3 linked regions of the Arabidopsis thaliana genome follow. The protein of the gene in region 2 interacts with the protein of the main gene of each other region in a pairwise test. Each region holds a gene or a part of one and is shown on either strand. Other genes may lie near its edges.

The links. Proteins that work in one complex are often made in the same cells at the same time.
Region 1: the proteins of AT3G12180 (region 2) and AT1G44960 interact in a protein complementation assay, tested with the Arabidopsis thaliana proteins (one large-scale study listed by BioGRID).
Region 3: the proteins of AT3G12180 (region 2) and UMAMIT25 interact in a protein complementation assay, tested with the Arabidopsis thaliana proteins (one large-scale study listed by BioGRID).

Annotation. Positions count from the first base shown.
Region 1 is NC_003070.9:16,996,186-17,003,186, forward strand, and holds AT1G44960 (SNARE associated Golgi protein family), read left to right. Parts: upstream 1-3,260; 5' UTR 3,261-3,390; coding exon 3,391-3,695; intron 3,696-4,781; coding exon 4,782-5,262; 3' UTR 5,263-5,549; downstream 5,550-7,001. Other genes in the region: AT1G44970 (Peroxidase superfamily protein), read left to right, coding at 6,052-6,321, 6,407-6,598, 6,685-6,850, 6,966-7,001.
Region 2 is NC_003074.8:3,879,987-3,886,228, reverse strand, and holds AT3G12180 (Cornichon family protein), read right to left. Parts: upstream 2,900-6,242; 5' UTR 2,766-2,899; coding exon 2,691-2,765; intron 2,210-2,690; coding exon 2,028-2,209; intron 1,943-2,027; coding exon 1,820-1,942; intron 1,720-1,819; coding exon 1,659-1,719; 3' UTR 1,365-1,658; downstream 1-1,364. Other genes in the region: AT3G12190 (golgin family A protein), read right to left, coding at 1-46; AT3G12170 (Chaperone DnaJ-domain superfamily protein), read right to left, coding at 3,574-3,778, 3,871-3,961, 4,053-4,135, 4,222-4,328, 4,414-4,473, 4,555-4,656, 4,758-4,856, 5,167-5,316; RABA4D (RAB GTPase homolog A4D), read left to right, coding at 5,792-6,018.
Region 3 is NC_003070.9:3,024,610-3,033,203, reverse strand, and holds UMAMIT25 (nodulin MtN21 /EamA-like transporter family protein), read left to right. Parts: upstream 1-3,654; 5' UTR 3,655-3,881; coding exon 3,882-4,060; intron 4,061-5,450; coding exon 5,451-5,513; intron 5,514-5,589; coding exon 5,590-5,706; intron 5,707-5,792; coding exon 5,793-6,045; intron 6,046-6,158; coding exon 6,159-6,317; intron 6,318-6,404; coding exon 6,405-6,556; intron 6,557-6,651; coding exon 6,652-6,853; 3' UTR 6,854-7,142; downstream 7,143-8,594. Other genes in the region: AT1G09390 (GDSL-like Lipase/Acylhydrolase superfamily protein), read right to left, coding at 1-21, 274-538, 651-817, 896-1,087, 1,685-1,940; AT1G09370 (Plant invertase/pectin methylesterase inhibitor superfamily protein), read right to left, coding at 7,779-8,309.

The DNA of each region.
Region 1 (7,001 bases), on a different chromosome or scaffold from region 2:
ACAATATGTAAAATCGAAACACTAATAAATATTTGAATAACCAAACCGAACCCGAAATATATTATAATTATATTGACTTGATGTAGCCCAAAATTATTTTTATAAATCCAAAAATATCAAGTACTATAAATAGATCAAAATTACTAAAATACCAAAAATAACCAAAAATCGAAAAATTAAACAAAATTTTATCAAAATCTAACCAATTTTTTCATTATTTCGGTACCCGAATCGAAGTAGCCAAAACCAAACGTGGCACGCCTATGCCACCAGGCCTAAACTATAAAACCCAAAAAACTAGAATCGAACCTGAACTAGTACCCGAACGCCTGAACTAGTACTCGAACGCCTAGGCCTAACAATGTATACGTAAAAATATAAAACTTTATCACATTTCCCGATTTTCATTAATTGTATAATAATTCATTATATAGGGGTGTAACACTTTAGCTAGAGATATTCCAAAAATAAGTCACTCGGGATTAGAAGTGGGCGTTTGGATACCCATTCGTTAGGGTATTTCTAAATTTTGGGTTTGGATCGGGGTCAAGTCCGATATTTTGGGTTCGGAAACTGGTTACCCGAAGTTCTCAAAAATCAAAATTTTAAAACCAAATATATCCAAACTACTCGAAAATACAGAAAATAACTAAAAACCTTGAACACTTTTGTATTCAAATTTACTCAAAAGTAGATTAAATACCTAAAATTATTTTAAGTATCTGAAAATCTAAATATTTTGACGCTTAGATTATTGCAAATATAAATATTAATACGATCAAATGATTCTTCAACTTTTTTTGTTAATCTCCTCATTACTTTTAACAACAAGTCAAGAAATTGCTCGATTTGTTTTGCAATTTCTTGACTTGTCATCACATGTCTCCACAGTTCTCACATGTCATCACACTACTTAGTGTACCACAAAAAATCTGGTAAACCATACTATCATAAGAGGAACCAGGAGAATGGAGACATTTGTCCATGCATCTAGCAAATTAACCAGATACTCATGTTCATCTTCATGTGCCTCATATTCGTGTATTTTTAATACGCGTAGTTAAGCAATATATGATAAGCTAGAATTATAGTTTATTTTACTATATTAATTTTGACTCCACACAATGCGTGGAATACCCCCTAGTAAACTATAAAAAAAAATATGAATAGAAAGACGTAAATCTTTTTGACCTTGAATAAATAAGAAGCTTAACTTAACAAGCATCCAAAATGTATTTTTGTAATCCGTTTAATTTTATCAGAAATATTAAATTTTAAAATTTTATGATTGTGTATCATATTTAAACTAGATTTTAATCCGCGGTATATCGCGGGACGATTTATTTTTTAAAAGTAAGATATATTGAAACTTGCAAATTTTATTCTTATAAAATATTTATATTTTACAGTTTATAATTGTTACCACAATTTTTAGCTTAAAGTTTTATATTTTATAGTTTAATTTTATATATACTAACATTATACATACCACATAACATTTTTGGTTTTATATAATCTTTTCTAAATTAGGATGATTTGATATGTTTAATATTAATGGTCTTAAAAAATAATAAATTAAAGATTTAACCCGTATTGAAACGGTGATTTAATTATATTTTACTTTTTTTATTAATGTTGATTCAAAAACCCGTCCCTCCAAATCCATCTTGCCAAAAAGCCATTTATTTTATTAATATTAATTTTATTTATGATATGACTCTAAATTATAATCTAAACATTTTAGCTAATAACATAGAAGTGCACCATATTTATTTAATAGGGGAATGTACCATATGACCCGAATGCACTTTTACCCAAATCCACCAAAAAAGTCTTGCAAAAATACTATAGAGATAAGAAACGATAGTCGGTTTTGATAGGTATAAGATTAGCAAATATATTAGTTAGCTTAAATTAGTTAAAGAATACAAATTAAAAAGATATATTACACTTTATTCGAATATAGTATAAAAACTTATATAACACAGAGATTTGATAATTTTTTAATTGTTGAATACTTTTTTGTGCTAATTTTTATGTGATTAAGATTTAGTTGATTTCGTATATAAAATATTAAATTGTTTTACGAACTTATTTGTTTATAATTTGGTAACAGATAGATATTTGAATATTCAGTATATTTTGCTTAAGTTTAGGAAATCTTTGATGACCCGTCTTTAAATCAAATAAGCCCTATAATTAAGAGATGAACTAGGATTTAACCCGCGGTTTACCGCGGGCAATCGGTTTATTTGGTTCTTATACTAAATATTTGAATAAATTTGATATCCTAAACTTATAAATATAAATTTTTTAATCAGACATAACTAAATAATAATTGAGATTTTTTTTTGGTTGTTATTTAGTGATAAGAAGAATGTGTTAAAATGTGTTTAATTTTTCTTTTGTTATTTACTTATTTTTGTTGAACGGATTAGATTGAAGTGAATTAAAATTATTGAACGGTTTAGATTGAATCGGATCATATCAAGTTTAGGAGATTGTTAAGACCAAATTACCCTTAATGATTTTGAATAGCAAAGAACAAAATCCAAAATTGAAATCAAAATTGAGGCCAAATTAGACAAAATTTCAATTTGTACTTCCCTTTTAATAATAAGAGGATATTGTCGTTAAAAGATTTTGGTAATTAATGACGTCATTAAAGGATTTTGTTTTTGATTAAATTTTTCTAATGGCATTGTCATGTAATTAACTACAAAAATTAAGGTTAAATTTAAAATGTACTTCCCAAATAATATAGTAGGATACTTGTAATTTGTATCATTTATATGATATTTATATTTATATTTATATTTTATAATTGTCATTAAGTAACGATATACCACATAAGAAGTTTGTTTTGTACAATCTTATATTAATTAGACAGATGTTATATGTCTAACACTAGTGATATTAATAAATAATAAAATAAGAATTTCATCTGTATTAAAGTAGTAGGTTAATGATGTTTTATTTACTTATTAATATTGTTTCAAATCCGTTCCGCCATATAACTCCGTCTCGGAATATAACTCATCGCATATTATTTTAATTTTCCTAATATTATAAACTTTTATTGATTTTAAATACATCAATCATAATATTAATAATAATTTAAATGAAAAATTATAGAAAATAAATCGTGATTGTCAAGTTTTCACTTTTGATAATTTTTTCTTGTAATTAGTCAATTAGTGTTATATTGTGGAGAGTTGAATAGTCTCATTTTGCAATTTTAGAAGATCAAGGGTATATTTCCAAAACATTGCAGTTTTGAGGATTCAACTTGCAATTTACCCTTTTCAAAAATCACTTTCGACAATTACCAAAAACCAGTTCCCCCATTTCATTTCACGCTTTCTTCTCTTCTCATCTCAGAGCTCCGTGATGAAGAAATGGTTAGCAATCGCAGCGACGGTGGCGATAATTGCAATAATCGTTAGACAAGGCACGACACAATACGGATGGAACAAAGAGGCGGCGTTGGAAAAGCTAAAGGAATGGTCAGATCGGCTGGGGATTTGGGCGATTCCAACGTATGTAGCGGTTCACACAATAACCTTAGCTCTTTGTCTCCCTCACGCCGTCTTCTTTGAAGCTGGTGCTTCTATGCTCTTTGGTTTCCTTCCTGCTCTTCTCTGTGTTTTCTCTGCTAAAGTTCTCGCCGCTTCTTTCTCCTTCTGGATCGGCAGGTCTGCTTCTCAATTGCACTGTTATGTGATTCAAATTGATCTGTTGGATCGTTAGTTTGTGTCGCTAATGTACGAATTTGATCGAAATGATTTGGATTTAGAACAATGATTCTCACATGGCTTATCTTGGCTTCGTAGAAAGTATATGATTCATTAGTAATACACTCTGGTTTAGTTTATGTTATCGTGTTTTGTGAATGCTTAAGGTTTTACTTGGAGATGGTTTAGATTTTTCTTTAGTGCACCATTGTTGAAACCTTTTGCAGAACGTTTATTGAAATCCATTAAATTGTAAGCATGAATGATAGGAAGGGAATGTTTGTGTGAAGAAATGGTGTCATTGTTGGTTATTCAGCGGTAAGATAACACCGTTGTTCACCAAAAAGGCGGAGAAGATGCATGATATTTTCTTGCGAGATTTAGATGGATGTCTTCAGATTCTATAATGGTGTTTGGATAAGAGTGGTTGTTGTCTTGTGTATGTGACGGAGATGTAAAGAACCGTTAGATGCTTGTCATTTGCTTGTTAATATATGCTAGGGAATGATTTGCAATATTCACATTTATGCTGGATTTTTACATGGCTTCATAGAAACTATATGCTTCATTAGTAACACTCTGATTTAGTTTAAGTTATCGATTTCTGAGATTTTACTTGGAGATGTAGAATAAACTCTTTTGTTGGTTTTGATTGTCCTGCTATCGCTGAAACCTCCGTATACAGAAGTTTTCACGAAAATCCATTCTACTCTAAGCATTATAGGAAGTGGATCTTTGTGTAAAGAAATGATGTCATTTTGGCTGTTCAGAGGAAAACTAACACCGTTATTCGCCAAAAAGGCGGAGAAGATGCATGTCTTCCTATTCTATAATGGTGTGTGGATGAGATTGGTTGTTTTCTTGTGTATGTGATGGATATGTATGGACTAATTGTTAAATGCATGCTGTGATTCTAATTGCCAATTAATATATGTAGGAGAATGCAACTAGGATGTTGATTAACCTTAGCAATGTGATATGCAGTTTTATTTATTTATCTATCTATTGGGAGCACTTGCATTCTCTCATACTTTTTTGAATTTTCAGGTTTGTTTTTAAGAGTTCCACCAGAGCTACAGGGTGGGCGCATAGCAACAAGTACTTCAATATTCTCTCAAGAGGAGTTGAGCGCGATGGTTGGAAGTTTGTTCTTCTTGCAAGGTTCTCGCCCATTCCTTCCTATGTCATAAACTACGCTTTGGCAGCTACTGAAGTCCGGTTTGTAGCTGATTTTCTGTTCCCCACGGTTATTGGCTGCCTCCCGATGATCCTGCAGAACGCATCAGTCGGTAGCCTCGCTGGTATGGCTGTGGCTTCAGTAGCTGGAAAACAGAAAAGTCAGGTCTGGGGTTATGTTTTCCCAGTACTTGGGATACTGTCAAGTGTTCTGATTTCATTGAGGATCAAAAAGTACTCAGCTGGAATTACAGAGGCATCATCAGATACCTCTGCTAACAACTCTAGTTTAGCTTCATCTGAAACTGCGAATCCCGCTTATGGAACCGATGGATCCAAGAAAAGTGAGTGATTATACAAACCATGATGGTGGTTTTTGATCGCCGGTATTACACTTTGTTTGGTTTGCAGCTATCAGATTCTCAACATCATGGCTTATTTTGGACGAGTTAGGCAGTATCTTAATAGTAACAAAGCATTAGTTTTTGTACTTCTTAAGTTAAAAGCTTAGAACAAAACAACAGTGTTATTTTCTATACCAGACACAAAAACTGTGTCGTTGTAATAACACTTACCATAACATTTTCTTTCAGTGTATGTTTAAAGCCGTTTATATGGTTGAAGCAATGTGACTAAAATTTTTGTAGCATTGAAACAAGCTATATTTGCATTGCTATGGTCTTGTTTTGTGACTAAAAGACTTGGATGCAGAATGGATATAAGTTAAATGTCTGATTTTGTAAATAACTTATGAAGAGAAAATCTTTATTCGGTAAGAGTTGTTTTCTCAATGTAGCAGTTCACTCATCATTTTCAAACTTCAACTCTCAGAGAACACAAAGAGGTTAGACAGTGCAGATGCTTATGGTTGAGAAGCTTTACCTAACAATGGTACAAGGCGGTTTTGTTGGGATCACATGTGAAGTTAGGCACATGGATTCGTTCTTGGAGTTGGTACAAGGACTTCTAAAAGACAACAATGAGGTATAATAAGGACAAGTTGACTATGTCTCTCTCTTTTATCTTAACATTCTAAATTAGGATTTGGTAAACTGAGAGCAGTTAGCTTCTTGAATCTCTAAAGTATAAAAACCCTCACCGTTTTACTACTATCTCATCTTAAAACTCCCAAGTAACAAAAATGGCTATCTCAAAGCTTATTCCTACTCTTGTGCTCTTTGTTTTGTTCTCTTTTGATGTTAGTGTTGCTCATCCAGGTCTAGGATTTGGATGGGGAAGTAATAGTCCCATTGGAGGATCTTTTTACTCAAATCTTTACCCACAATTTTACCAGTTCTCTTGTCCACAAGCTGATGAGATTGTTATGACGGTGCTCGAAAAAGCCATAGCTAAAGAACCAAGAATGGCAGCATCTTTACTCAGACTTCACTTCCACGACTGCTTCGTTCAGGTAAAAGTATCTTTACCTATTTTTGTTTTCCCTTTATGTGTCTCTTAAGCTTAACACTTATACACTACACTCTGTGTGTAAACAGGGCTGTGATGCATCAATCTTGTTGGATGATAGTGCAACCATAAGAAGTGAAAAGAATGCTGGACCAAACAAGAACTCCGTTAGAGGGTTTCAAGTAATCGACGAGATCAAAGCCAAACTTGAGCAAGCTTGTCCTCAAACTGTCTCCTGCGCCGACATTCTAGCTCTAGCTGCTCGTGGCTCAACTATACTGGTAAAATTAAGAGACCTTCAAGAGAAACTATTGGCTCAGTTACAAGTTATATAGCTTATATTTATCGAATTTGTGGTTCAATGCAGAGTGGTGGACCATCATGGGAGCTTCCACTAGGGAGGAGAGACTCGAGGACCGCTAGCCTTAATGGCGCAAACACGAACATTCCTGCACCTAACTCAACTATTCAAAATCTCTTAACCATGTTCCAACGTAAAGGTTTGAACGAAGAAGACCTTGTTTCCCTATCAGGTGAGATTAACATGTATTTATCTTTTGTTTAAGGAGTTGGCAAGGAAACCAAACCGAGACCGGTTTCTTAAAACCGAATGATAACAACGTTTTTAACCAAACCAAAATGTTGCAGGAGGACATACGATTGGAGTAGCGAGGTGCACAACGT
Region 2 (6,242 bases):
GACGCTCTTTCTTCCACTTGGCGACTCTTAACTTTTTCACTTCCATTTGCACACACTTTCTTCAACGCCAAGCTTTCTACTACAAAAAAAAAACAGAGAATGAGCCACAAGGAACCAAAGAAACCCTAGGAGATAACAAGACAATCACTCACAATGACGTACACAAAGTGGCAAGCGATCTATGAACTCGAAATAATAGGTCCTTTGAATTCAGAAAAGACCAAGAAATGGATGAACACAGTAATCGCGGAAACTAAGACACGATATCGAACATTTGATCATCTACAGAGAAGAAGATAGAAAAGAGAAATATGCAGAAAGAAACCTTGGGAGTGCGAACTCTCTCTGCTTGATCCTTTTTGGCTACTGAGTAAATGAGGATACAAGTTTCATATAAACCTTTTTATACCCTTTTTACAAATTATTTTCTACAAACATTTATTAGTTACCTTATTATGGCTTTTAATTCAACTTATTTTATAGTAACTAGGTCTCTTATCCCTAAGAACAGAAATAAAATTATTAATGGATTTCCTTAACTGTATTTCCATTGAAGGTATCTAAACTACCTTCATTAAAATCAGACTCTGCTCTAGACGACTAGACATGTGTTGGAGGTGCTAATGAAATACATTAAAATTTGGGTCAAAATTTTTATTTTCTTTCTAAAAAACATGAGAAAAATGGCCCATTTATTTTTCTCACCTCAGGAACCTCAAATTTATTGAGCTGGAGATTAAAATCATACTAAAAATGAAAAAGCATGAGAGAAATTTTTGTTTTAAGAACTCATAAGTGAGGCATCAAGAGGAAAAAAGAAATGAAGTCATAGGATGGATTATGGTTTTGATAAGGTAAGTGAATAAGCGCCTATTTGCTGGATTAAGTGGCATAGTCGTTGGGAGTTAATTAAGGACACCCACGGGCCACGGCCAAGTATGAAAATTGTAGTCTATCTATCTTGAATGATCTTTTCGCTTGGATTGACTAGAGTCTCTCGTGGTCCCAGACTCTTGCCCTAAAAAATCTAAATAAGGAAAGTTCCTTATTTAACCGGTTTAATGCCCGTAGTAAATATTATCGGTTTGTGAGATGGTCTGAGCCGGTCCGGATCGGGTCATAGGGGGTCTGGGACGTAATCAAGCTGGATAACTCTCTTGGGTTGGGCCGTAATCCTTCTTGGGTCGCTATTTGGTCACTATCGCAAAAATTGGCTCATATAAAAAGGTTTGTTGAAACATGCCTTGGTTTTTGTTCTTGCAGAGTTTCTGTTTGGGTCACCTTCTCCTCCTCCTCTTGGATGGACATGGATTTAAGGTCCACAGCGGGTTCAATTGCATCTCCGATAAACTAGATATCGGTGCGTTTTTCCACAGCCAGTCTATGTAATACAATGTAGCTTCATTCTTGATACATGATTTTTATGACTTCAATGATGAGACTGAACATTATATTGCGCAAAACAAAACTGATGAAACCCTCCATGTCAAACGATTTGTGATGAGTTTTCGGTAATCATACGTTATATAAAGCTACATGATGAATCCCTGAATGGCTAATTCTAAGCAGGGACGTAATAAAAACCTGTCACAATTTTCTAAAACACACTCAGAAAATAAAGAGAGAGTGGTTGATAACGCAGAGCGCAAGCGCATAAATCAAAACAAATGAAGTAGATCATCATCTTCCGTGAAGCTATAGACCGCAGAGAGAGTGAGCCTGCAAAAATGTTTTATGGACTCGGTAAGTAACTTCATAGTAGAAGAACCAAAGTAAGTGAAGATGTTAATAGGAAAGCTAAAGCTGTAGTTTTTTTTACCTAAAGACAACCATGATGAAGAGAAAGACGTAGAACCCGAGCTTGGTATACCGGAGCTTCTTTTCAAAGCTGATACCACGGAACACTTCAGTGACATCGATGAGATAACGTCGCTCTTTGTATCTGAAGAACAATGGGAGGCGCGTATTTAGTTTCCACGCATGTCAATCAAGAATCATAAGCAATATGGATGGATATAGATACTTACAACATTGCGTGATAGACTGTTACAGGGACGGCGACCAGAAAGAAGACCCAATGCCATGTGAGGAGGAAGAGAAGGCAGAGTGACCCTTGGAGGATAAACTCAGGTATTACTAATCGGTTGATACGGGTACTTGTTTCAAAAGGGTTCAAGTAATCAGCTTCTAAATCCGTTAAGCAGATAACCTACAAAATCACACACGATATCAATAGACTAAAAAGGAATCTCAATGCTTCAATCATTAGCAGAGGCAGTTAGTATGAGAGTAAACACTATTGGTAGTAGTATCTAACTTCATTCATTCACAGTATATAACTCGCAATTAATCAACTATATGTCTCAATTGACCAAGTATCATATACAAGCCTTGCAGACAATCCAAATCAGAACTAAGAACAACTTTGAGTTAGAAGCATAAGATTAAGGATAAACAATGAAACCTCTCTGGACCCAAAAAATTGTCAATTGTATTTAGTACAAAACCGACGAACACAAAGGAAAATTGTTCCATTCCTAATTTTTTAGCTAATTCGAACAAAAAGCTAAGTTGCTCGGTGTTTTTTCACAAGTACAATTCCGACAATCAGGATTTGAACAGTAAGGACAGATCTCGATTTAAGAATCTTAATGGAAAGTAAAAGGGGACAAACAAAGTAGATAGATTACCTGGTAGAAGACGGAAGCGACGAGAGCCAAGCTAACGAAGAAGGAGACTATCCATAAAAACAAATCCCAAGCCATATTTGCTCTCTTCAACAATTACGATTCGTCTTTTTGCGACTGCGACTCTTCTCCTTAAATACCTTTGAAAAAAAAAGAACTCTTCTTCTCTCAACAATTGGTGTACTTTACTTTGGGGTTCTATTGGACATTAGATTCTTCTTTCCTTTTTATTATTACTTCTCTAGTTTCTTTTTGTGAATATCCTTTTTGTTAAATTCCTTTTTCTTTTTCAACAAAAAAAAAAGATGCTTGGTGTTAATTAATAAAGAACTAACAAAATTTATTAACTGTATGCCATTTAGGCCTATACAAGCCATATAAGTAAATAATTTCATTTTTTTCTTCTCTTTTAGAATAATTATTTGGTTCTTTTAAATAAGTTCACTTGAAATTTGTTAGTTCTTTATTTAGGCCTATACAAGCCAAAGGATCCGTCCACTCTCCTCTTCCCGAGAAACTTGGTTGATACCGTACGTTTATATGTTACATTGTAACAAAGGCTTGTTTAGTTATCAACTGATTATGATGCATTACTCGACCTGATTGTTTTTGCAGGTGGAGAAGTCCTAGGACCCGGTGATAGAATTTCTCTTCTTCTGAAGATCCAGACGACATACACGTGGGACCCTGAGCTTTTGAACTGGTAAACTCACTGCTTTTTTTGTTGTTGGAAAAAAGACAAAAAGTAAAAATACACATTGTTTCCTAGCAAATACACATTAGTCTTCAACTTCTAAGAAGCAACAAATGTGATCTAATTTACGCTAAAAACATTGGTCTCCATTACAAACACGAAACCTAAATTTCACAAACTACTACATAATCTTTATTTTTTTCTAGACTTCTTCGATGATCTCCGGCTTTCAACTTTTCTCTGAGCAGCTTCGAACTCTTCTTCGTTTGGCTCAGAGTCAGCATTGCTACCATACCTAGAGACAAGTGAAGAGAACATTGAATCGAACTTCTCTTTCCTCTCATCTCCCCGCTGGGACATTACAGCGTATAAATCTTTATCTGCAGCCTTTGCTGCTCTGAAAGTATAGAAATTTTGAAACAGGTCACAACAAAGATAACTTCAGAGGGCATTTATTGGGGTGGAAAAGGTAGACAAATAGAAGCTTACTTCCGTCTCATCTTCTGGGGATTCGTGGGAGGTTCCATTTCTGCAATCTCCTTTGCCCATTTCTTGTAAGCTTTTGTTGATTTCACTTCTCCTGCAGATGTTAAACAATGGTATGCACAAACAAATCAGAACCTGGATAGGTTTTATAGACAAAAGAATTATTGCAAGAAAGAGAAGCCTACCCGCTGCAATGGCCTCATCGATAATATCTTTGAAACGGTGCGAATCAAGCTTGGGGTTCGAGCAAAGCATTGAGCAGAAAAGCCTGAAAGAGATATAGTACCAATAATGTTTATACAAACTTCAACTCACAAACTTGACAATAATGAAAACAAGGGGATGATTAATTACCTGCTCATTTTACCCTTAAACTTGTTATATAGCTCAATCAAATCATTCTTCTCGGATTCAGAACCCCTATAGTTGGCCTCAAACTCTTCAATATCTTCCTCGGTGACCTATAGCACAAATGATCAGTATACAGAACGAAACAGTTGTGTTGCAAAGTCCAAAAAGAAATCAATTGTGAATCATGATTCTTACCTTCTTGTACATTGCCTTGAAGAAGTCCCTCAAGTTGTCAACCACATCTCCCGAAAGATCCTAATGAGATAGGGAAATAACCAGTTTGTAAGAAAATCCTCCAGTACCTTTACTTAAGTTGAAAACTTTCTTTCAACTTACAGCATCATCAACTGAGCCAGTTTGATCATAGACTGCTCTTTTCTCTTCATCACCGAGAATCGAAATAACCTTTTGCAACTGCTGAAATTTCTCTTTAGCATCCTGTATTGGATAAGAAAAACAAGAATTCCGGTTACAATGTAAAATTGAATAGACCCCTAAAAACTAAGAAAAGTAAAGAAACCAAAACCCCTCAGTTAAACCTCATCATCCTTGTTTTTATCAGGATGAAGCCTCAATGCTAACTTATGATACGCTTTCCTTATCTCTTGTGGAGATGCTGTTGCTTCAACACCAAGAACCTTCAACAAAGACGCATTCATTAGTTCGTTTCACTGAATTCTACTAACCACCAAGAAAACAACTAAGAATTGCAACAGCTACGGTACAAATTGATCAAACCATGGATCTTAACCAAGTAAAGTCTCTTAGCCTCTTACAATCCCAACAATAAACAATGATATTCAGATTATCACAAAAACATCATCAGACGAATCAGCACATGAAAATCGACAAAACAATCTTAAATTTCGAAGCATAACTGGAACAAGTCCCAAATCCAGAAACGGAAACCCTAATTGGAACCATCGGATAAAGAGAATGTTGAGATACCTCGTACAGATTTTTCTCATTGGATCTTCCATCATTCTCCATTTTCAACGTTCTCGTGTAACTCCTTCGCCGAGAAAGTACACACCAGAGATAAGTAATGGAGTTAAAATTTTGCTTCTCAGAAAATTTATGGCGCCAATAAATTTCCATTGCCGCCTATTTTAACAAGGTTATAACCTAATCTGGTATAGTAGTTAAACCGAACTTGATTTGGTATGATATCGATTTTGAATTAATTCGTTCAAATTGCGCCGGTTATGTTTACGTACCGTGCCATTAGGAAATTGAACGGTGAATAAGGTACGAATAAAGTAAACGGCCAGGATGAATTGGGTTAAGGGTGATCTATGGCACAGTAGAATAATTCCTAGAGTAAAGGGTCCCGCATCGGCCGTTAATCCTCTCTTTCTCTCAATCTCTGAATAATTTTTCGCTTTCTCTGCCTAACCACCATTCATTGTGATCTGAGTTTCTGTGTTCGTCTGATGGTAGATTCGACTGTTTCACGCGTGCAATACGAATCCGAGACTCTTCGCCTTTCGTATTCGTGATCTGGAGATTTGTGTATATTCATTCTCCTTTGTTGTTGTGTTTTTAAATAATAATAATAAGAAGAAGAAGAGAGATGTCTAATTTGTATGGAGATTATAACCAAAAGATCGATTACGTCTTCAAAGTCGTGTTGATCGGTGATTCTGCCGTTGGCAAAACTCAGCTTCTTGCTCGGTTCGCTAGGAATGAGTTTAGCGTCGATTCTAAAGCCACCATTGGTGTTGAATTCCAGACTAAAACGCTCGTCATTGATAACAAAACCGTCAAAGCTCAGATTTGGGATACTGCTGGCCAAGAAAGGTTTTGCTTTTTTCTTCTTCATTCATTAGAAGTAATGACACCATGAATATCATTTGGTATATATCAGAGAACGTTCACAATTCATCCATTTGATTGATTTATGTCTTAGCAGCTAGAGATGCCATTGAATTAGGCAACACATGTTCCAATATAAGTAGATATGTATGAACAATGGGTTGGGATCTTTGATGGGCAAATGGGCAACATGAATATGTGATGTTTGA
Region 3 (8,594 bases), on a different chromosome or scaffold from region 2:
CCATTAAGGGTTTCTCAAAGCCTGCACAAAACAATTGAGTAGATGATCATAATTAACCATGGAAACAAAACATAGATTTGGTTTTTCAGGTTCCTAAGTATGGTTAAGGTTTGATTCAGATCAGATAGACCGGATTAAAATACCTAATCATGTTTGATGCATGACACAAAAATGCTTAACGAAGTTACACATACATGAAGGATTTATGATGACATAAGATCTTAACCGATAAACAGACACTAATGGTGTTTACTTATATGCATCAAAGCTTACCATAATTGTTGGAGTTTGCGATGAGATCGTACTTGATGGCATAAATGTCGACATAGACAATGTTGGCCTCTTTCAGTTCCGTCCTCAGATCCCGACACATATGATCCAGTCCTTCGTTAAACAGTTTTGCAGCTGCGTTATAAGTTGCTAGACAACCATGCTTATCAAAACCTTTGCTATGAACCATTGAAAGTTTCTGAGGCAGACAACCTAATGGTCCTGTGTTGTGAACCCAAAATTTCCTCCCTCCTTCATCATACAATATCTGCAAAACAAATTTAACAAAAGATTTCAACTCTCTCCCAATATCAAGACTTATTGTTTAGCACACTCTAGCATGTTTTATTCAGAATAAACCCACAAACTCTAGTTCTTACCTTTATGGCACTTTTGATCTCGGAAATAACGTTTGGAATAAGCTTGACGACCCGGGAGTAAGAAAGGCCTTTGGAGAATGAATCCGCAATATCATTCTGTCCGATATCGATCATGTACAATGCGTTTCTGAATCCACTTTCGCCTATCATCATCTCTTTCAAAGGATCTGCAAAACATAATGCAAGGGTCCTTTAGTGAATTACCTATTTTTTTGCTAAAGAGTTAATTACGATCAGATAGATACCTGAAATAGAAGCAAGCTCGAGTGCTCGGGATTTGAAATGGAGGAACTGCATGAGCTGAATGTTGAGAGCAAAAGGAACATATCTGGGAAGAGTGGAAGATCCAACAATTGCGAAATTGGCACCGTTTTGGAACTTTGATCCAACCAATGAGTCTAAGTATGGGTTCAATAGACTTGTATTCAAACTCTGGCCTGCCAATATGTCAGAAAAGAATGGAATATTAGATTCATATTTACTTTTGAAGTTAGATATAGAAGTTGCATTTCAACTTTACCAACCACCAAAATTTAACTTGAATCTGCATATCGTTAGTAACAAAATATTTTCATGCATTATAGTATATAAATGACTAAAATATGAAACCTTATAACATGTGATTTGGACAAAACAGAACGCATACTTAACATTGATACCAAAAAAAAAAAAAAAAAACAGAACGCATCTTTTACTATACGGCGTTGTTTGACTCTTTAGTCACGCAATCTAATGTAACGAGTGGGTTCACGCGCCGAATCTACATGGTGGCACCCACTTTTGATTGTGATATCTTCCCATGTTGGTAAGTGGGACCCACTTTTCTTTGGATTAGATTTTCATCATTTCAACGAGTGAATTGTGTCGTTTTGTGGCATCACGCAACGCGATCACCGTCATCAATTATTAGCCGTTGATTAAGGTTTACATCTATTCCATCGGACGGTTGTCACGACTTCATTGCACTTACCTCTAATCTCCACCGTCTAAATAATTAACTAGAGTTAAAAAAAGTCAAGAGAAAGTTGACTTACAAAGGAAATCGATGACGAGGCGTCCGTCGGATAATCGGCCGGTGGATCTCTGGAAAAACGAACGACCGTTAGGAAGACCAATGCTGTATCCGAGTCCGGCGACGAGTCCACCCGTGTCGGAGTTGGAATCGCCAAAGTTAAAAATCACCGGCGGAACCTGACATCCTCCGGCCACTGCCAAGTTTTGTCGGAGAATGAGGATAAACGGAAGGAGAACAAGAAGGAAAGAGTGGGAGTGAAGAGAGAGAGTAGCCATTGTAACTTGCTAGTAGAGATTTGATCAAGATAGAGTGAAGATCGAAAGCTTTGTAATAAATTGTAATAATGGTAAGCCTTAAGTGTGTGGGCCTTATTTCTCTTATTTTAAGCTATAGTGTGTGAGTGTGATTCTTTAGTGAATTTAAAAACAAAGCCTAAGACTTTGTATGTTGGTGGTTGACAGTGACAGACACATAACTCAAGCTTACTGTTGGCTCCAGCTCCAATGTAGATGCTAATTGTTCATACATAAATATGCATATGCATCCTAAAGTATATATCCAAAACGAATGTACAATGGAATTTTCCTTTTGTACGTAACAACGAAAAGATAAGATCGAAAAAATATGCGGCGAAAATTTACGTTGGAACTTGGAAGCCAAAGAGGACGCGGAAATTAATCATCTGGACGCCAACGCTAGCTTGTTTGACTTATGCAAATGGAGCATTACTCATAATTTATTCATCTTCAACTCCAAAAGCATTTCGTATAAAAATTAACCACTGATATCCAGCAAAATGTTAAGCATCACTTACTTTCTCAAATTTCAGCCAACAAAAAAGTTTAACGTGTTTGGTATACCTATGTGCTGACTACAGACCAATGTTTTATCTCTATCCATATGAAATGACATTCTTGCTCAAGGAAGTCACTGTACACCTAAGGAAAGGCCTTTTAAGAATAAATGAGGCCTTTTAAGACCAATAATTGGCCCAACAATATATGTTGTTTTGTATATGAGATTTTCTTATATTATACAAGTTTTCATTATGCATTTTACTTTAGTTTACTAAAGTTTTATATATAAATCATTATGTTTCAGTATAGTTTTTAATTAAAAATTAATTAGTTTTCTGAAAATTATACTAGCCACTCTAGTTATATCCTACTTTTTAATGATATAAATTCCAGTTATTTTCAAAGATATTCTTAAATTACGTATGTCCAACCCATTGTGTAAATGATTACCTAGTTCATACATTAAAAATATATAGTATATATACAGTATGCAGTCGAACTGAAACATGTAATAATATAATCATGAATTTAATTATATATTAAATTTTAGAAATAATTAGATGCATACATTTTGCGGATACTTACCTAGTTATATTTATATTGCATAAGATGCATGCCATTCAATATATATTCGATAATCCATGCCCAACTTCCAACCCTTTTGGGATATAAATAGTTAATTTACCATTTATGATATATATTACACACACAAAAGTTTGACAAAAAGCAAGAGTGATATAATGAAAATCAATTCAAAATACGTAAGATAATACTAATTCGATATTGTTAATCAAGCGATAAACCAAGCCCTTGGTTTAATATCACAGAAACGAGTTTTAGCAAAGGCAAATTGATTGCTTGAAGCTTGAGAAAGACATTCACAAGCTCCACCAAACCCATGAAAAAACGGAAACCAAAAAAATGGATTAAAACGAGGAAAATAAGTTAGATTTTTTTTTGACAAAACGCCAATTTGGATTGTATTAGTAATCAGCAAGGAGAAAATTTAAATAAATTGCCAAAAATATCAAATGATTCATATCACCTATTGTTTCGTGTTCTTATGCCCTAAAGAGAGTCCAAGTGTTACAAGCAAACTTCATTCTCGAACCGTTTCTCACCTTTCTGTTTAAAACATCTCTCTCTATATATATGTATGTATATAAATAAATATATGTATGTGCATGTATATATAAATGTGTGTATATATACATCTTTGGCTATAAATATAAGGTCGAACCAAAATAAAATATAGATTTGGGGAAACTAATAAATGATATAGAGAATCCACCTCTCTCCCTTATTTTTTTTTCTTGGTTTCTTGACCTATTATTATTGATTAGTAATAGTGAGAGAGGCATATTTTGGAGATACACATAAACACATAAATTGGAAGAATAAAATAAAAGAGAGTGAGAGATGGCTAAATCAGATATGTTGCCGTTCTTGGCGATGGTGTTGGTGCAAATCGGCTACGCAGGCATGAACATTACGTCGAAGATGGCTATGGAGGCCGGTATGAAGCCACTCATCCTGGTCGCTTATCGTCAGATATTTGCCACTATCGCCACTTTTCCGGTCGCATTTTTTCTCGAACGGTAAAAAAAAAACCATACTAATATCTGCCCATATACATCTTATTTGATCAACTAACGATTTTAGACATGTATGAATTACACGATTAAAACAATTGCATCGATGAAATGTTGAATTTGTTTTAATTCTTGAATAAAGCATATGGGTGTTTTTATTACTTTTTTGGGGTTAAAAGTAATTAGGTTTTAGGTGGTGAGTCTATGTTTTACAAAGATCAGCAAGAAATGCTAAACTTTGATTAGCTAAATTTTTCTTTTAGCATTGTTTTTTTGTGTTTTCAAGTTTGTCTTAACTGCGAAAGTAGAAAATGATGAAATCATATTCATCAACATAAACGTCAAAATGGTGAGTGCGTATATTAAAATATTAACGACGAAAAACCATTTACTAAATGGCTTTGTGAGTCTCATGTAGAACGTTTTTACGTCTTTGAACTTTCTTGCGTCACCTAAATTTATTACTTTCCAAAAGTTTCAAAAATCAAGCTTTTTAATTTATTGACATAGAAGTACTGCATGCTTAAAGTCTTTTTTTTTTGTGGTCAAGATTTTTTTTGATATATGTTAATAACTTAATTCATCAGTACTATACGTTGAATAGATTTAAATTCATTAATTTACTTCTTATTATTTTACAATTTTGGCAACAAATGAACCTCCATTTAGAAGACTAAAAATTAAAAACACTAAACTAATAATTAAGAAAAAAAGTTTAGCACGACATCGTCTTATTTTCCGGAGATTACGATAGAATACGCATATAATGGTATATGGTAAGCTATAAGTTTCTTGATGAATAATATTAATTCAGAATGTGAAGAAAAATGTGGTAAAGAAAAAAAAGACAAAAAAGTGGTAAAGTGACGCTGATTAATTAGTTGAAATGTAGTAGACACTAGCTTTTTTCTTTTGTTTATTGGGATTAGTATTTACCGTTATTTTTTCATAATCATGGTACCGTCAATGATTTTGGTGGTATGTGGAAACCTAAGTAGTTACATTATCATTAATTCCGTTTTCCGAGAGAGAAACAAATGAGAAATGTGACGCAGTCTCACACAATCCACGCGTCACGTTTCTTTCTTAAACCGAAGCACATGATGACAAACAAATCATGATGCCAGGTGAGTTAAGCGTCGTCAGGTGCCGTGCCATCTTCATTTGCCAAGACACGTGCTTCTTCAATTACGTTTTTTACTCTGTTTCTCCACTCTAATCTCTTCATATGATATGAGAAGTGAATTTGATTGTTTTCTTGAGTCTCGGTTTAACTTAACCGGGTGGTTTTAGGATTAGTTGCATGATTACATTCAATGAGAAATGCTTTAATTGATTAATAATGATTAGTGGACTAATGAAAACATAAATTTTTCATACACGGTTTCTTGTGCAGGAAGACAAGACCGAAGATCACACTTAGGATTCTTGTCCAAGTCTTCTTCTGCTCCATTACTGGGTATCTTACATACACTTTACCTACTAATTGCAATCTTACTTTGTTATAAAGCGATTTACATTGATTTTCTTTGCAGTGCGACTGGAAACCAAGTGCTATATTTCGTAGGACTTCAGAATTCATCTCCGACCATTGCTTGTGCCTTAACTAATCTCTTACCAGCGGTCACTTTCCTCCTCGCCGCAATATTCAGGTTATATGAAATTAATCTTAATTAAGTTTCCTTCAGACAATACTCGTTTATGATTATTGCTTAACACAAGACTTTTTTCTTTTCAGACAAGAAACCGTGGGGATCAAGAAGGCATCAGGACAAGCCAAAGTGATAGGGACGCTAGTATGTGTGATCGGAGCCATGGTTCTCTCCTTCTACCATGGTCACACCATCGGCATTGGAGAATCCAAGATCCATTGGGCCTACGCTGAAAACATCACGAAACATGGTTCCAGTTCTGGCCATTCTAATTTCTTCTTGGGACCTTTTCTTATTATGGCTGCTGCCGTTTCTTGGGCCGCTTGGTTCATTATCCAGGTAACTTAATTACTTAATTAAAAAAAAATGTAGCTTCAAACAATTTGAACCCACATAATGGAAAATGAAACTAAATTCTCATTTGGTTATGATAAATATTATTTTGGTTACAGACGAAGATGAGTGAAACATTTGCAGCACCGTACACGAGCACACTACTAATGTGTTTGATGGGAAGTATCCAATGTGGAGCCATTGCTTTGATCTCCGATCATACAATCTCTGATTGGTCTCTCAGCTCTCCTCTCCGCTTCATATCCGCCCTTTATGCCGTAAGTCCACATACATATACTATGATCATTAGATAACAATCTTAAGCTAAAAATATATGACACTAGTATAAAACACGGATCATGCAGGGAGTGGTGGCGTCTGCGTTAGCTTTCTGCCTAATGTCATGGGCTATGCAGAGGAAAGGTCCTCTGTACGTCTCTGTTTTCAGCCCTTTACTTCTCGTAGTTGTCGCCATTTTCAGCTGGGCTCTTCTTGAAGAGAAACTCTACACCGGCACGTATGTTTCTATACATCTTTATCTATCTCTCTGTGTGTTTAAACATTATATAAACGAGATGATGATGATGAATTTATATGATATATGTATATTAGGTTTATGGGATCAGCACTTGTGGTTATTGGTCTCTATGGCGTATTGTGGGGGAAAGACAGAGAGGTGAGTGAGAAGGAAGAAGAAAGGGAGAAGGTGAAACAACAAAACCATAAAGTCAAGAGTGAAAGTAATGAAGATATTGAATCGAGATTACCGGTAGCAAGTAGTGGAAATGGTTCCACAAGGTCTACATCGCCTTAAAATGGTGATTGCTTCTTCATCATATATAAGTATGAGCTATGGAAGAACCTTTTGGGATTTCTTGTTATCTAAGTTACTGCAACTAAATTGGATTTTCGGAGTGTTTAATTTTGTATCCCATTTTGAGGCTAATGATGGAGTGTTGATTTGTGTGTTCATCCTATGGACAACAAATATCACCTGTTTGATCTCTATATATATTCAGTATTCTTAATCTTCATCGTTTCCATTATCTTATTTTCTTTCTAATAACCTATTTCCTTTATCCCCAAAACAAATCAAATCATAGTCTTCAAGTAATTTATTTTATGTTTTGTCAGAGGGTGAAAGTTATTACAGACCTTCAATATTCATTTAGACCCAAAATGTAAAATAGTGCCTTGAAACAGAGGGTTTCGGTTCGTGCAAGTCAATTACAATTGGCTGTAACGGTTTAATCCTGGTTTAGTAACTCAAGTGTTATATACGAATCAAAACAGAGTCGCTGTTCTGTTTTGTTAATCTTCTTCGTCATTCTTGATTACGAGTTGCAAGGTTTATCTCGGTTCATGTACCTGTAATCGATAGATATAGTAGATTTGATACAGAACATGGAGAATCACATGCGATTTAGTTAGACTTAATTGTCAAAGACAAACACTATGGACATTTATTAGTATTATTGACCACCTGATTTTGCCATAAGGTCATAATTCATAGAAGCAAAAACAGAATTAGATCTTACAGAAAAAGATATATTATATTATATCCCAAGTGTTTATTTTTATCCTTATCAAGTTCAGTTCAATTCAACCTCAGCATCAGCATCGCCATTAAAAACATATATGCATATAGAGAATTGCAATTAAGAAGATTCTGTAACCATTATTAATTAGAATATTTCTGGAAACATTTGCTACTATGTCATGATTCAACAACAATCAGATTATGAAGAAACCATATGACTAACAATCTGTTCCATGGATAGTAAGATCTTCGTCTGTCTGTTTTTCTCAATCAACGGATTGATCTGATAACCGAGCACATTGAAATCTGTCTTACAGATATCAACAGCCATAGAAACTTTCTTTTCGATATTGACAATCTTACTGTAGTAAGCTTGCTTGAAGAAGGTTACAGCTTTCGTGAACGCCGAGTTCACAATGGCGTAAGCTTCGGCGCACGCTTGAAGATCAGGCCTCTCGTCTCCAGCATTCCTGAGAAGCGTGCTGATGAAGAAATAAGTGTTGGCCGCGAACCTTTCAGCTTCGCTTACTGTCACGTTCATGATTTCTTTGTTACTTGCGGGAAAAGTATTCAGGTTCTTGATCAAGAGACTACTGCAAAATCTGGTATCCATTGTCTGCTTGCAGATTCCGTTGACCCTTTGTTGAGTTTTTTCATCGAGAAAAGCTTCTGCAACGGAGGAAGCGAGTATAATTGCCAAAACTATCGAGAGAATGTGATGCATTTTCATCTTTCTTCTTTTTTTTTTTTTTTTGTAAATTGAGTATGTGGTCATTTGAGAAAGAAATTTGTTATTTTATATATGAAATTAGGCATTTGAATGAATCAGTCAAGAGTCAAAAAAAGTCTTTGTAAGTTACCAAAATTGCGTGTGAGAATTAGTGTATTTCAAGGAAAAGAAAACAATTCCCAAACTACAATATTTTGTTTATTTATCTGAACTAACATTCAATGTTTATAAATTATTTGAGTTGACCAAATCTTCAATACATTAAAAAGTCAGTATTGATGCATA